Saccharomyces cerevisiae S288C: one gene and its partners. The main gene of each other region encodes a partner of the protein of the gene in region 2 in a complex. Each region holds a gene or a part of one and is shown on either strand. Other genes may lie near its edges. A codon is read from its position in the direction of its gene.

Region 1 (4,402 bases), on a different chromosome or scaffold from region 2:
TGAAAACATCACAAAATCTAAGTATAAGTCAGAATTTGACTCTATAAATTATGTTCCCGAATGGTATGAAGGTCCGACATTTTTTTCGCAACTATATCTATTGGTAGAGCATAATATGAACAAAATAGAAACAACTTTGGAAGAGCCATTTGTAGGCACAATACTGCAATCTTCTGTTCTTCAACCGATAGCGGAGATAAATTACGTGTCACTCAAAGTCTTGATCAACAGCGGATATATTCAATCAGGCCAGACAATTGAAATTCATACACAATATGAAGATTTTCATTACTATGGTATAGTTTCAAGAATGAAGAATTCAAAACAAATACTGGAGACTAACACAAAAAATAATATATCAGTCGGTTTGAACCCTGACATTTTAGAGGTTCTTGTTAAGATTCATAATACCGAAGACTTCACGAAAAAGCAATTTCACATTCGTAAGGGTGATATAATAATTCACTCTAGAAAGACGAATACACTATCACCGAATTTACCAAACACACTAAAGTTGTTAGCCTTGCGTTTAATAAAATTATCAATACAAACGCACGCGCTAAGTGATCCCGTTGACTTGGGTTCTGAATTGCTTCTTTACCATAATTTGACGCACAACGCGGTAAAATTGGTGAAGATTCTCGGGACTAACGACATCTCAATTAATCCAAATCAGTCACTTATTGTCGAAGTCGAAATTATAGAACCAGACTTTGCTCTTAATGTGATTGATTCCAAATACATTACCAACAATATTGTTTTAACATCAATAGATCATAAGGTTATCGCAGTTGGCAGAATTGCATGCCAGTAATCCTACAACTAAGAAATTATACTAGGCATTCATACTTATTGTTTAATATATAAAATGAATAGTAATAAGTTGATGATAGATTGATTTTTTTAACCCATTTTACACATATCTTATGAAAGTGATATTAACCTACATAATCTAGGAACAATATAAAAACACCCATGATAATGGCACCATAAGTGGTCATTTTAGCAGTTCTTCCAGCAGCTCGTTTCGCTTTACGTAATTCTTTATTTCCCTTCTTAATATTCAATTCAATGTCATCTTGATTGTTCAGCATTAGGTTTATATTTTGAGATTGCACCGTTAAATGATTGGACAATTCGTTCTGTATATTGACAATGTCTAAAATTGTTTTGTTTATAGTCTCCACTTTTTTCAATTGCTCATTTTTTTGATTTAGCAGTTCCGAATGTTCTGTCTCCAACACTTGTAGTTGCTCCTGGGTTAATTTGGATATCGTCTCTTCATAATGTTTTACTTCGTCTTGTACAGTTTCTACGGGAGCAGATTGTGACACTGAGATGTCTATTGCATCTGCAGAGAAATCATCCGCATTGTTGGATAAAGTAGGCATAGGCGTTGAATTGAAATTCATTTTATTTTCTAATATCAATCTTTCCTGTTGTATGGTAGTGAATTTGGATGAAACATATTTTATCCACAAATTCAAACACCGTAGGACACCTAATCTAAATTCATAAACTCCATTTTCAATGTCTTGCGGATGTATCACATGCTTAGTGTTGTCGTTTTTATTGGAAAGTATTTTTGACCATCTGTGAGACTTTGACTGAAATCTTTTCAGCGACAAATTATGCCTTTCCATTTCGTAATTCTCTAGGAATTCAAACTTTTTGAAATATTGTTGAATTTGCAGCCTGCATTCCATGTCAAACTCGTCCTTTTCCGCATCACTCATATTAAAGTCATCTAAATAGTTTTTTTCAATCTGTTTTATTACCTTGTTTAATTCGACTAGGAACTTCAATAGTCTTGCACATTCCTTAATAAACGAATCCCTAAACATTTCACACGTTTCATTAGAATTCCCGAAGTCCTCTTGTTTCCTTTCAACATGATCATCTATACCATTTTGCTCATTTCTAGCATCATCGATAACAGCAACATACTTACGGAATATTGGTGTTAAATCAGACATCATGAGTTAATAAGCTCTTCACTGCTTTTACGGGTGATTTCCCAGCACCGGGGGAAATGATACTAGACGTATGTGTATGTATTCTAGTTATTCTCATTCATCTGAGCTCACAAGTTGGGTAGGGTAACGGAGATCTTTCCTTGTTGGCAGTTCTTAATTAAATGTGCCCTTTTCAGAAAGATACCAGCAAAGGTAGGAATGATTTATCATTACATGACATGTATCCATATTCCAGGATGGATCATGCGAACAAGCTTCTTTCCCCTCTCGTCTGTAAAGGACGGGATTGAGATTCAATTAAAAAATTAGTTTCATTGGAAAAGGCCAATAAAATATGCAAAGGTCCCGTCATTATACTGCAGCTACCTCAAAGAGATTAGCTTTGTGTCCTCAACGTAGGACCGCATTGAACAGGTTGGAAGAGGTGTTGCTTTTTTGACCTTCTTTCTCAAACTTAATATTTGGTGACGCGTTAAATAGAAAAAATGAAAAAGACCTTAATTGACGCGTTTCCTGAAATATTTACTATAGCATAGCTGTAATTGTATTTTCTAAACTTGTAAGTGACTGTGTATATCAAACAATAAAGTATCAAGGAGAGAGCTTCATAACAGAACGGTACAGGATGACTATGGACGGAAAAAACAAAGAAGAAGAGCAATATCTTGATCTATGCAAAAGAATCATTGATGAAGGTGAATTTAGGCCAGATAGAACAGGCACTGGTACGTTGAGTCTTTTTGCACCACCCCAGCTGCGTTTTAGTTTACGTGATGATACCTTCCCACTACTAACGACCAAGAAGGTTTTTACTAGAGGTATCATACTTGAACTATTGTGGTTTTTGGCCGGTGATACAGACGCTAACCTATTGTCTGAGCAAGGTGTTAAGATTTGGGACGGTAATGGATCTCGTGAATATTTAGATAAGATGGGGTTCAAAGATAGGAAAGTAGGAGATCTGGGGCCCGTTTACGGATTTCAATGGAGGCATTTTGGTGCTAAATACAAGACGTGCGATGACGACTATACTGGACAAGGTATTGATCAATTGAAACAGGTTATACATAAACTAAAGACAAATCCCTACGATAGAAGAATCATTATGAGTGCCTGGAACCCAGCTGATTTTGACAAAATGGCTTTGCCGCCATGCCATATTTTTTCACAGTTCTATGTCAGTTTCCCCAAAGAAGGAGAAGGATCCGGTAAGCCCCGCCTTTCATGCTTATTGTACCAACGTTCTTGTGATATGGGGTTGGGAGTACCATTTAACATTGCATCATATGCTTTGTTGACTAGAATGATTGCTAAAGTTGTCGACATGGAGCCAGGTGAGTTCATTCATACTTTGGGGGATGCACATGTTTATAAAGACCACATTGATGCCTTGAAAGAACAAATCACCAGAAATCCAAGACCATTCCCGAAACTAAAGATTAAAAGGGACGTTAAAGACATTGATGATTTCAAGTTGACAGACTTTGAAATTGAAGATTATAATCCTCATCCAAGAATTCAAATGAAAATGAGTGTATAATTGACAGCACGAGGAGAAACAAAATCATGTACTTACGTATATACACACAAAATCGAATGTATATAATACAATGGTTTATTATGCAAAAATATAGAAATTATTAAGGAACACCAGGGCAAAAAGACTATATATCATTTTTTGGTGCGATATGTTTTTGGTTGATGTTTCACTGCCTTACCATTTCCAAATAAATCAAATACTGCTAAATCATCTTCATTTAGTCTAAAGCTAACAGATTTATTATTAACATTATTAATGTTTGAATTGTTATTGTCGAAATTGTTGTAATTGTTGTTATTATTACTGGTTCCCTTTGACGACTTGGAGGGTCGCGTAGTAGAATTTTCATCAGATAAATTATTGACAATTGCATTTTTGAACAATTTTTTAGTTCTTGTTGACTTTTTCTTATTCTCCGATTTATTTGTAATGTCAAGTAAAGGCGACGATTTTTTAGGGCTATTGTTGCTAGTTAGTTTTTTTTCGTTTTTGTTGTTGCTGTTGTTGTTGGAAGTGGTCATTAGATGAGCGGTATCCTCGTGTATTTCATCTTCCGTTTTTTTCCCTTTTGGAGTTCCATAATCCTTTGAGACGACGACTTCTCTCAATTGCGGTTCGTCGGGTATTGAATCTTGGGATAAACTTTTCCTTTTATGTGAAGTTTCCCGATTTCTCTTGGAAACCTGTAGATCATGTATATCAATCACAGTAGTAGCATCCACAAGTTTTTCTGAAGGCCTCCTCATTTTGGCTCTTAAAGAAGGCAAAGTGTAATCTACAGCTTTACCACGAGTTCTTCTAGTTCTCGTAAATGATATTTCGCTGTTGCTGCTCATGTTACTTACGGGCATGACTTCGTCAATAACCTTTTTCTTCAGTTCTATCC
Region 2 (3,912 bases):
ATATATTTGCACCAAATTGACAAGAATCTAATAAATTTGTCACGTAATCTTTTTGGAAGAATGTATGAAAAGATCAACTACGACGCCAGCCAAACTCAAAAGGTTTTTAACAAAGAATACTTTACTATGAATACGGTTACGCAACTCCCAACTTTTTTCATGTTTAAAGATGGTGATCCCATATCCTATGTTTTCCCCGGATACTCCACAACAGAAATGAGAAATATTGATGCCATTATGGATTGGGTAAAAAAGTATTCTAATCCCTTAGTTACCGAAGTTGACTCTTCTAATTTGAAAAAATTAATTTCCTTCCAAACCAAGAGCTACAGTGATTTAGCAATTCAGTTAATAAGTAGCACTGACCACAAACATATCAAAGGAAGCAACAAGCTTATTAAAAACTTGCTCCTCGCAAGTTGGGAGTATGAACATATTCGGATGGAAAATAACTTCGAAGAAATTAATGAGAGAAGGGCAAGGAAAGCAGACGGGATCAAGAAAATAAAGGAAAAAAAGGCTCCGGCTAACAAAATTGTTGATAAAATGCGTGAAGAGATTCCCCATATGGATCAAAAAAAATTGTTATTAGGATATTTAGATATTTCAAAGGAGAAGAATTTTTTTAGAAAATATGGTATTACTGGAGAATATAAAATTGGTGATGTGATTATCATTGATAAATCAAATAATTACTACTACAATAAAGATAATTTTGGCAACTCCTTGACTTCTAACAACCCTCAATTGCTGAGAGAAGCATTCGTGTCCTTAAATATTCCATCAAAAGCTCTATACAGCTCTAAGTTGAAGGGGAGATTGATAAATTCTCCATTCCATAATGTCCTCAGTTTCCTAGACATAATCCACGGGAACGGCATGCCCGGTTACTTAATTGTTATTGTTTTGTTTATCGCAATACTCAAAGGTCCATCTATTTACAGAAGATACAAAGTAAGGAAACACTATAGGGCGAAAAGGAACGCTGTCGGTATCCTAGGAAATATGGAGAAAAAAAAAAATCAAGATTAAACGCTTAAGTAGTTATAAAAATAAAAGAATGCTGATATCTTATGATGCTATCATAACTATCCTTTATTTCACGTATCAATATCTACAATCATCTAACAAACGTCGCTCTTATTTTGTCACTTAGGTTTAATGTACAATATGCAAATATTTATGTAATCCATACCCAAAAAAATAGCACGCCTACCATAAAAAATATTATTAACCATGTTTTTATACTGATCCCAGATCTTCTGGCCATCTCCATCATGTTTCCAAAAGTCCTTTTGAGTTTTACAGAAGTGTTATGGAAAGTATCACCAAGCTGGTCAATAGTTTGATTGCTGCCTCTAATCTCATCACCCATCTTCAACGATAATGACTTGAGTGCTTTTATTCTCTGACCCATAGCTCCCATCTGTTCCTCACTTTGAGATTCAAGAGATGCCAAAGTACTTTGGGAGTAGTCTAATTTATCTGTGCTCCCTAGCGCTGATGATACATTGTCATCGAGACTATTTGATCCATCAGCCGGTCCGAATAACTGTGTTCTACCAGTATCACGTTGATAAGCGTTTCCCCCTGCAAATCTATATACACACGCTATAGTTAGTAAACGAAGTTCACTCGTGGTCAATAACTCCCAATATCGAGGTGTTATGGTAGATGTTTAACAAAAAGCGCTACTCTAACTTTAGAATAGTCTAATAATTTCTCATACCTTGAACTCATCTGTGTAGCCTAGTGTTGTGAGGCTCTTCAATCACATTTTCTAACACATTCACAGTCTCAAGTGAACTACTGTTTGTTTTCTACCATTCCTTGGCAAAAGGCGCGAGTTGAAAAAACTCCATTTTTAACAACTACTGGATACTTTCGCAATTTAAAATTAATGGAAGAAAGAGCCGTGAACGTTCCTACGTAGCTTGCAACAACGGTAGAGTAGTATCCGCCAATTAGCATGCATAAATTTCATCTGAGATAGTGCAACATTATAAAAAATCACTAATACTTTCCCTGATATGTCGCCCCTTCAAATTTTTTGCACGCCACATCGATAAGAGTGAAACATATCCCTGAACAGTAACCTAGAATGTACAGAAATAACTGGAAATACAATTACAAAGCGATAATTACGGGATCTTTGGTTCCTATCACAGAGTAAACACCATGGGTTTATTAGATATTATTTGGAAGAATCACATTAGACGGCTCATCGCGCAAGTAATAGCAAAATGGAAAGAAATCGGAAGGCTTCATTAGTCATGAACGTTTTACACCATCAAAATGAAAACTATACACATGCGTCGAGGAGCACCCAAAACTAATACGACTATTACAATTAAGCATGGAGGAACAGGAGATAGGCGTTCCTGCGGCCTCTTTGGCAGGAATAAAACATATCATATTGATCCTTTCCGGAAAAGGTGGTGTCGGTAAAAGTTCGGTAACGACACAGACTGCGCTGACTCTTTGCAGTATGGGCTTCAAAGTTGGAGTTTTAGATATTGATTTAACAGGGCCATCCTTACCGAGGATGTTTGGCCTAGAGAACGAATCTATATATCAAGGTCCTGAAGGTTGGCAACCTGTGAAAGTGGAGACAAACTCTACTGGCTCTCTTAGTGTAATATCATTGGGGTTTCTACTAGGTGATAGAGGGAACAGCGTGATATGGAGGGGTCCTAAGAAGACTTCTATGATAAAACAATTCATCTCTGACGTCGCCTGGGGTGAACTGGATTACTTACTGATCGATACCCCTCCGGGAACGTCGGATGAACATATATCGATTGCAGAGGAGCTGAGATATTCCAAACCAGATGGTGGTATTGTAGTAACTACCCCACAGAGTGTTGCAACAGCTGATGTCAAAAAAGAAATCAATTTCTGCAAGAAGGTCGATTTAAAGATCCTCGGTATAATTGAAAACATGTCAGGGTTTGTATGCCCGCATTGTGCTGAGTGTACAAATATCTTTTCCAGTGGGGGTGGTAAAAGATTATCGGAGCAATTTTCTGTCCCATACCTTGGTAACGTTCCTATAGATCCAAAATTTGTAGAAATGATTGAGAATCAAGTTTCAAGTAAAAAAACGCTTGTAGAAATGTACAGAGAATCATCTCTTTGTCCCATTTTTGAAGAAATAATGAAGAAACTGAGGAAACAAGACACTACAACCCCTGTTGTGGATAAACACGAGCAACCCCAGATAGAATCTCCAAAATAAGATCCTCTCCTATGCATGTACGTATATATATATATATGTGTGTGTGTGTGTTTATATACACTTATATTTTGATCCTTGGGCCTAGAAATAAATTTCGATTCCTATTTCGATTCCTATATCGAAAGGTGGTTAGAAGCTAACCGGCAACTGCAGCATGTTCTTCAAGTGGTGATACAAATTTAAAAGGCCGGGTAAATATTGACAAAGAAATAATATTTAATCACACAATTTTGAGAAAGAGCAACTGAATCAATTACTCTAGAGAAATCGCAGAACACTTCACTCGTCGTCAATAATATGACTCGTGATACACCCGAAGATGTCAGTACTGCAGGCGCAAAGGATATTTTAGATGTTTTGAACCTACTAAAAGGAGGAGAAGAGAAAATCTCGGAAGTCGAACTTAAGTTGGATGAAATGGAAAAGAAAATGGACTCTCTGTTAGTTCAGTTAGAAGATCTACACAGGGACAACAATGATTTGGCAAAAAGTTCCAGCCAAAAATAGAGAGTACGCTCACAGCCGCATAGGGAAGGAACGCTAAATAAATATATTTATATATAATCTTTTCACTAATGATCATTTACTTACCTTTCTATAAAAAGTGGCTCATCTTCGTTCTCAACGAATGGATTGGGATCTCTTTTAGGATTAATCATGTAAACGGCCGGGTC
Region 3 (6,135 bases), 190 kb from region 2:
GTAATAAAACCTCACACCATCTAATGCATAGCCATGGTATATTCTCACAGCAGTGACTAATCTAACATCAAAAGCGACGACGCCGACAGCATTACCACCGTCGCTGCGACCATAAAGTGGTGATTTGATACCTTGAACATTTTTAGAAAACCCATATTTCGACATGTCTAATGGCTGAACATCTAACAAAGATGGGAACTTGTCGAACTCGGTTTCCGGTGCATTAACAGAAAGAATTTTCAATTTGAAGGTATTGCCAAACTTGGCGAGTTCATTCTTGGGCAACCTGGCACGTAAATCATCTAATGTTACTATAACTTCCCGTTGAGGCCCCTGTCCACCTAGGGAAACCGGCAAGTATTCAATATGGCCCCTGGCCAAATCATCACATATAATTTCAATCAAATAGATTCCTGTGGGCGATAATATGCGGCAACTGCCGTTACCCAAAGGATATACAGAGTGTTTTATATTGGGGTATCCGCCCAATTTTGTAGGTCTCATGAACGATGGATCGTAATAATCCTGTGGTAAAGTGAAAGAGGGGTGGTACAAAAATCTTACCGTATCGAGACGGTTCCAGGTACATTCTTCCTTGGGGAAGATGGGAGGACTAGCACCAGTTGAATTAGTTCTTACAGAATAAGCCTCTTTAGTCAAGAAAGACCTATTCAAAGTGGTATAGCCTCTTAGCATAACACCGCTTTCCTGATGAGGACAACCCAGTAAGTGACCAATCTCATGCATAAATGCTCCCAACGTGATAGTCAAACATTCCCAGTAAGTACCACACTCATTACAGTCGTTGGCGACTTCACTGGTGGAGGATCTTGTCTCATCAGTAAAATAAGGCACCAATTGCTCGAGACAAGTAGGCCATGAGTAAAGCCCGTGCGACCCAAAAATGGCGAGCTTAATGCTGTCGTCACCCCCACCCAATGCGGCGTGGCCTCTAATCAACTTACCATCCCAGTGGGTGTCTAGAAACATACAAGCTGCCTGAACAGGCTTTTCGTTATTGGTGAAGGGTCCGCCGTAACTTTTAAGGGCGTCCATGGCTATCCCAAAAAGGGCGCCGGTGTTTTTCCCTTTGGAATTCTGTTGAGCTATGTCAGGGTCCTGGATTTCCTTCACCGTCTTTTCCGAACGAACTACATGTATTTTGATGGTGTTTCTCATAGCAGGCCGTTCGAACAGCGTGTCCCAGGTAAATTCTTCAACAAAGGGAAACGTCCTATTTCCCATACTGTTTCTCAGCATTTGCTCGTTCGTGTACGCTTGCATGAGTCTGGCCCCAAGTCTTAGCTTCTTGATTGCCAATTCGAGGCCATTCCCGCCCTCTCTGTCCTTCTGTTCTCGAGGAGAGTCAAACTGTAAAGGCGAATCCTTGGCCAAGATCAGACACAGGTGTACGGGAGGGTTCTGCGTCAGTGGTGTGTAGTAACATACGATTGTCCTAGCGGTGTTAGTGTCTGTAACAAAGGTCAACTTGTTCTCACCAGGAGTCAATATCACAGTGGCCTTGAAGAACTGATTATGTATGGGGTAAGTAATTGGAGGCAATTGTGGATGCTGCACTTGAACGGTCTTCGCACCATTTTGCTTATTGCATTTTCCGTGCACGATAAGACAAGGAGAAACGATTTGCTCGTTCTCTCTCAGGTTGAATAGATCAATATCCTTCGAGCCTACCATTTATTTCTTTCTCTTCGAACTACTACTTCCTTTTTTTTTTTTTACTGTATACGATCTAATAATAAGAAGAAAGAAGAACTCCTTTTAAATTTCCTTTTTCTCTCTATTTTCCGGCGACCGCTACTCTTAAACGTCCAAACCAAAAAAAGATCGAGAGAATTGACTGCGCCAAGACACATGAACTTCTGAAACCTAAGAAAGCCTGACTGTTCCTAAGGTGATCTATATTTATATACAACATCATGCTCTTAAAAGAATAGGTTACGTAATTAATTGATGGAAAATTTCAGCAAATTTCCGCCTAGAATGCCGGGTAACAAAAAAGTAATTAGTGCTATGTTTGGGTGATAGAATCGTGTCACAAATATACATAGCACTGACAAGTGTGCATTTTGCACTAACCACTGCTATAAGTTTTTCAGCTTAATGCAGTCTATTCAGGCACTATCTGGGCTTGAAAAACAGTCTTGGACATGGCCACTGGAGCAGATTTGTTAACGCTTAGCTGTTCTCTTTTTTTTTTTCTTGTTTTTTCCATTTACGGCAGAAGAAAATGAAAACTGGAAGAACGAAAACGAAGAAAAACAAAACTATGTAAGGAGGATGGTACATCAGGAAACAGGCCAAAAATAGCACTACAAAAAGGTTTTATCTGGCACTCAGGTCCATTTTTGCCGCATTGAAACAGACATAAATATATAAGTCTGAGACCATCTGCAAAATGTCTCATCACAAGAAACGTGTTTACCCACAAGCTCAGCTCCAGTATGGACAAAATGCCACCCCTCTACAACAGCCAGCACAATTCATGCCTCCGCAGGATCCTGCTGCAGCTGGAATGAGCTATGGTCAGATGGGAATGCCGCCACAGGGTGCAGTCCCTTCCATGGGGCAGCAACAATTCCTAACCCCTGCTCAAGAACAGTTACACCAGCAAATTGATCAGGCCACCACTTCCATGAACGATATGCATCTGCACAACGTACCGCTAGTCGATCCTAACGCTTATATGCAGCCACAGGTTCCCGTGCAAATGGGCACACCTTTGCAGCAACAGCAACAACCAATGGCAGCGCCTGCGTATGGCCAACCTAGCGCCGCAATGGGCCAAAACATGAGGCCCATGAACCAGTTGTATCCAATCGATCTGTTGACGGAATTGCCTCCTCCAATTACCGATCTGACCTTGCCTCCCCCACCGTTGGTTATTCCTCCAGAAAGGATGTTAGTTCCTTCTGAATTGTCCAATGCGTCTCCAGATTATATCAGGTCGACCTTGAACGCCGTTCCTAAGAACAGCTCCCTGCTGAAGAAGTCTAAACTTCCATTTGGGCTTGTTATCAGACCATACCAACACTTGTACGACGATATCGACCCGCCTCCATTGAATGAAGATGGACTTATTGTCCGTTGTCGTCGTTGTCGTTCTTACATGAACCCTTTTGTCACTTTTATCGAGCAAGGCAGAAGATGGAGATGTAACTTTTGTCGTCTGGCCAATGACGTTCCTATGCAAATGGACCAGAGCGATCCAAACGACCCAAAGAGTAGATACGACAGAAATGAAATCAAATGTGCTGTGATGGAATATATGGCCCCAAAGGAATATACTCTAAGACAACCACCTCCAGCCACTTACTGTTTCCTGATCGATGTCTCCCAGTCCTCTATCAAGAGTGGGTTACTGGCCACTACCATCAACACCCTTTTGCAAAATCTTGATTCCATTCCAAACCATGATGAAAGAACCAGAATTTCCATCTTATGTGTAGACAACGCCATTCACTACTTTAAAATCCCATTGGATTCTGAAAACAATGAAGAGTCCGCCGATCAAATCAACATGATGGATATTGCCGACCTGGAAGAGCCTTTCTTGCCCAGACCAAACTCTATGGTTGTGTCCTTAAAGGCCTGCAGACAAAACATTGAAACTTTATTGACCAAGATTCCTCAAATCTTCCAATCTAATTTAATCACAAATTTCGCACTGGGCCCCGCTTTGAAATCCGCTTATCATTTAATTGGTGGCGTTGGTGGTAAAATAATTGTTGTGTCAGGTACTTTGCCCAACTTAGGCATAGGAAAATTACAAAGGAGAAATGAAAGTGGTGTTGTTAATACATCCAAGGAAACTGCACAACTACTTTCCTGTCAAGACTCATTTTATAAGAATTTCACCATCGATTGTTCTAAAGTACAGATTACTGTCGATTTATTTTTGGCTTCTGAAGATTATATGGACGTTGCATCACTATCGAATTTGAGTCGTTTCACTGCTGGTCAAACGCATTTCTATCCTGGTTTTTCAGGCAAGAACCCAAATGATATTGTCAAATTTTCCACTGAGTTTGCCAAGCACATTTCCATGGATTTCTGTATGGAAACCGTAATGAGAGCCCGTGGTTCCACAGGTTTGAGAATGAGTAGATTCTATGGTCACTTCTTCAATAGATCATCTGATTTATGTGCATTTTCCACCATGCCAAGAGATCAATCATACTTATTCGAAGTTAACGTTGATGAATCCATTATGGCTGACTATTGTTATGTTCAAGTAGCGGTACTTTTATCTCTGAATAATAGTCAACGTAGAATAAGAATTATAACATTGGCTATGCCAACCACGGAATCGTTGGCAGAAGTCTACGCATCTGCTGACCAATTAGCTATAGCGTCGTTTTACAACTCGAAGGCGGTGGAGAAAGCATTGAATTCCAGTTTGGACGATGCAAGAGTATTGATCAACAAATCCGTGCAAGATATCTTAGCCACGTACAAGAAGGAAATAGTGGTGTCCAACACTGCAGGGGGGGCCCCATTGAGGTTATGTGCCAATTTGAGAATGTTCCCATTGTTAATGCATTCTTTAACTAAGCATATGGCATTTAGATCTGGTATTGTCCCAAGTGACCATCGCGCCTCGGCCTTGAACAACTTAGAATCATTACCTTTGAAATATCTAATCAAAAACATCTACCCTGATGTTTATTCGCTGCATGATATGGCTGATGAGGCTGGGTTACCAGTGCAAACTGAAGATGGTGAAGCTACTGGCACAATTGTTTTGCCTCAACCAATCAATGCTACCTCTTCGTTGTTTGAAAGATACGGTCTATACTTGATAGATAATGGTAACGAATTGTTTTTGTGGATGGGTGGTGACGCTGTACCAGCGCTAGTATTCGATGTGTTTGGAACACAGGATATCTTTGACATTCCAATTGGCAAACAGGAAATACCTGTTGTTGAAAATTCTGAATTCAATCAAAGAGTAAGAAACATTATCAACCAATTGAGAAACCATGATGATGTCATCACTTACCAATCATTGTATATTGTTAGGGGTGCCTCTTTGAGCGAGCCCGTTAACCATGCATCTGCTAGGGAAGTTGCAACGCTAAGACTATGGGCTTCTAGCACCTTAGTGGAGGATAAGATTTTGAATAACGAAAGTTACAGAGAATTCTTACAAATCATGAAAGCCAGAATTAGCAAATAAGGCTAAAAGGGAATCAATGATAAAAAGAAACTGTATATTTTTGTTGGTTGCATTTTTGCTTTCCAATTATATTATGTATATTGAACAGTTACTTTAATTTTTACTTCTATATTTCTTTTCTATTTTCATCCATGTTATAAATAAAAGATACAGTAAAAGACTTATGGATTAACTTAAGGAAATGAAGTTGAAACAAATTATACTAACTATCGGATAGCTTTATTTGTTTCAATGCATATAATCGACCTTTTTAAGCCAGAGTTAACTTTAAACCTTTCAGAATGAATTGGTAGATGTTCGGAGTTTATTTTGTCGTCCAAATAAGCTTCAAATTCAGTGATGCTACCACCGACTCCAAAATAAATATCCTTTGCGGCTACGTAAGTTTTGACATCGGTTTGTGGTAAATTGTGTATGTCAAGTATTGTTTCCGCTATAACGGGCAAATTGTCAGGTTGATAAATTGTTTCTGAGGATAATGAAAGGACTTTTTGGCTACCTGAGAGTACTTCATGGATCAAATTACTAAATTTACGTCCCCACGATCCTGATATAAGAGTGACGCTGATATTCCTGCTTTGTACATCGTCGTAAAAGGCAGCTAACAGCTTTGAGGTAAGAAGCAGTTCCTCATTATTTATTGGAATATCTTCACATTCGTCTTTCTGTAAGGCGTACCATTGTTCCTTTGTCAAAACCGTTTTAGCCCATGTTATAACCAAATTCGGTATGGTAACTAATCTTAATACACTGGCATTATAGTCAGTCAAAACAAACTTTAAACCTTTACTTCTATCATTCCGTAGAAGAGCAGATCTGAAAAGAAACTCTGAGGGTAGTGCCGTACCACAGCCTATTTCGACAACCGCGTCGATATCGTTGCTTATTCTATCAACGTTCTCTGACAACAAATCAACTAAATCATAAGAGCACTCCCA

The links.
Region 1: BET1 (region 2) and UFE1 share a complex: the UniProt entries of both Saccharomyces cerevisiae proteins name them as parts of the SNARE complex.
Region 3: the proteins of BET1 (region 2) and SEC24 are in contact, whole or in part, in a crystal structure (PDB 1PCX), measured with the Saccharomyces cerevisiae proteins. Residues at the interface, in NP_012262.3 of Saccharomyces cerevisiae: Leu51 (codon at 1,459), Ala52 (codon at 1,456), Leu54 (codon at 1,450), Glu55 (codon at 1,447), Ser56 (codon at 1,444), Gln57 (codon at 1,441), Ser58 (codon at 1,438); in NP_012157.3 of Saccharomyces cerevisiae: Arg230 (codon at 3,104), Arg235 (codon at 3,119), Tyr237 (codon at 3,125), Glu295 (codon at 3,299), Tyr296 (codon at 3,302), Thr297 (codon at 3,305), Leu298 (codon at 3,308), Gln494 (codon at 3,896), Glu555 (codon at 4,079), Val557 (codon at 4,085), Arg559 (codon at 4,091), Arg561 (codon at 4,097), Leu582 (codon at 4,160), Ala614 (codon at 4,256), Leu616 (codon at 4,262), Arg624 (codon at 4,286).

What each region holds. Positions count from the first base shown.
Region 1 is NC_001147.6:465,789-470,190, reverse strand, and holds UFE1 (Ufe1p), read right to left. Parts: upstream 1,980-4,402; coding exon 939-1,979; downstream 1-938. Other genes in the region: SKI7 (Ski7p), read left to right, coding at 1-814; CDC21 (thymidylate synthase), read left to right, coding at 2,602-3,516; SGO1 (Sgo1p), read right to left, coding at 3,648-4,402. UniProt on the Saccharomyces cerevisiae protein: Syntaxin required for targeting and fusion of Golgi-derived retrograde transport vesicles with the ER.
Region 2 is NC_001141.2:346,766-350,677, forward strand, and holds BET1 (Bet1p), read right to left. Parts: upstream 1,741-3,912; coding exon 1,730-1,740; intron 1,599-1,729; coding exon 1,181-1,598; downstream 1-1,180. Other genes in the region: protein disulfide isomerase EPS1, read left to right, coding at 1-1,032; iron-sulfur cluster assembly protein CFD1, read left to right, coding at 2,357-3,238; CMI7 (Cmi7p), read left to right, coding at 3,536-3,745; phosphoinositide 5-phosphatase INP51, read right to left, coding at 3,826-3,912. UniProt on the Saccharomyces cerevisiae protein: SNARE required for targeting and fusion of ER-derived transport vesicles with the Golgi complex.
Region 3 is NC_001141.2:156,447-162,581, reverse strand, and holds SEC24 (COPII subunit SEC24), read left to right. Parts: upstream 1-2,416; coding exon 2,417-5,197; downstream 5,198-6,135. Other genes in the region: YIL108W (putative metalloendopeptidase), read right to left, coding at 1-1,695; HPM1 (protein-histidine N-methyltransferase), read right to left, coding at 5,404-6,135. UniProt on the Saccharomyces cerevisiae protein: Component of the coat protein complex II (COPII) which promotes the formation of transport vesicles from the endoplasmic reticulum (ER).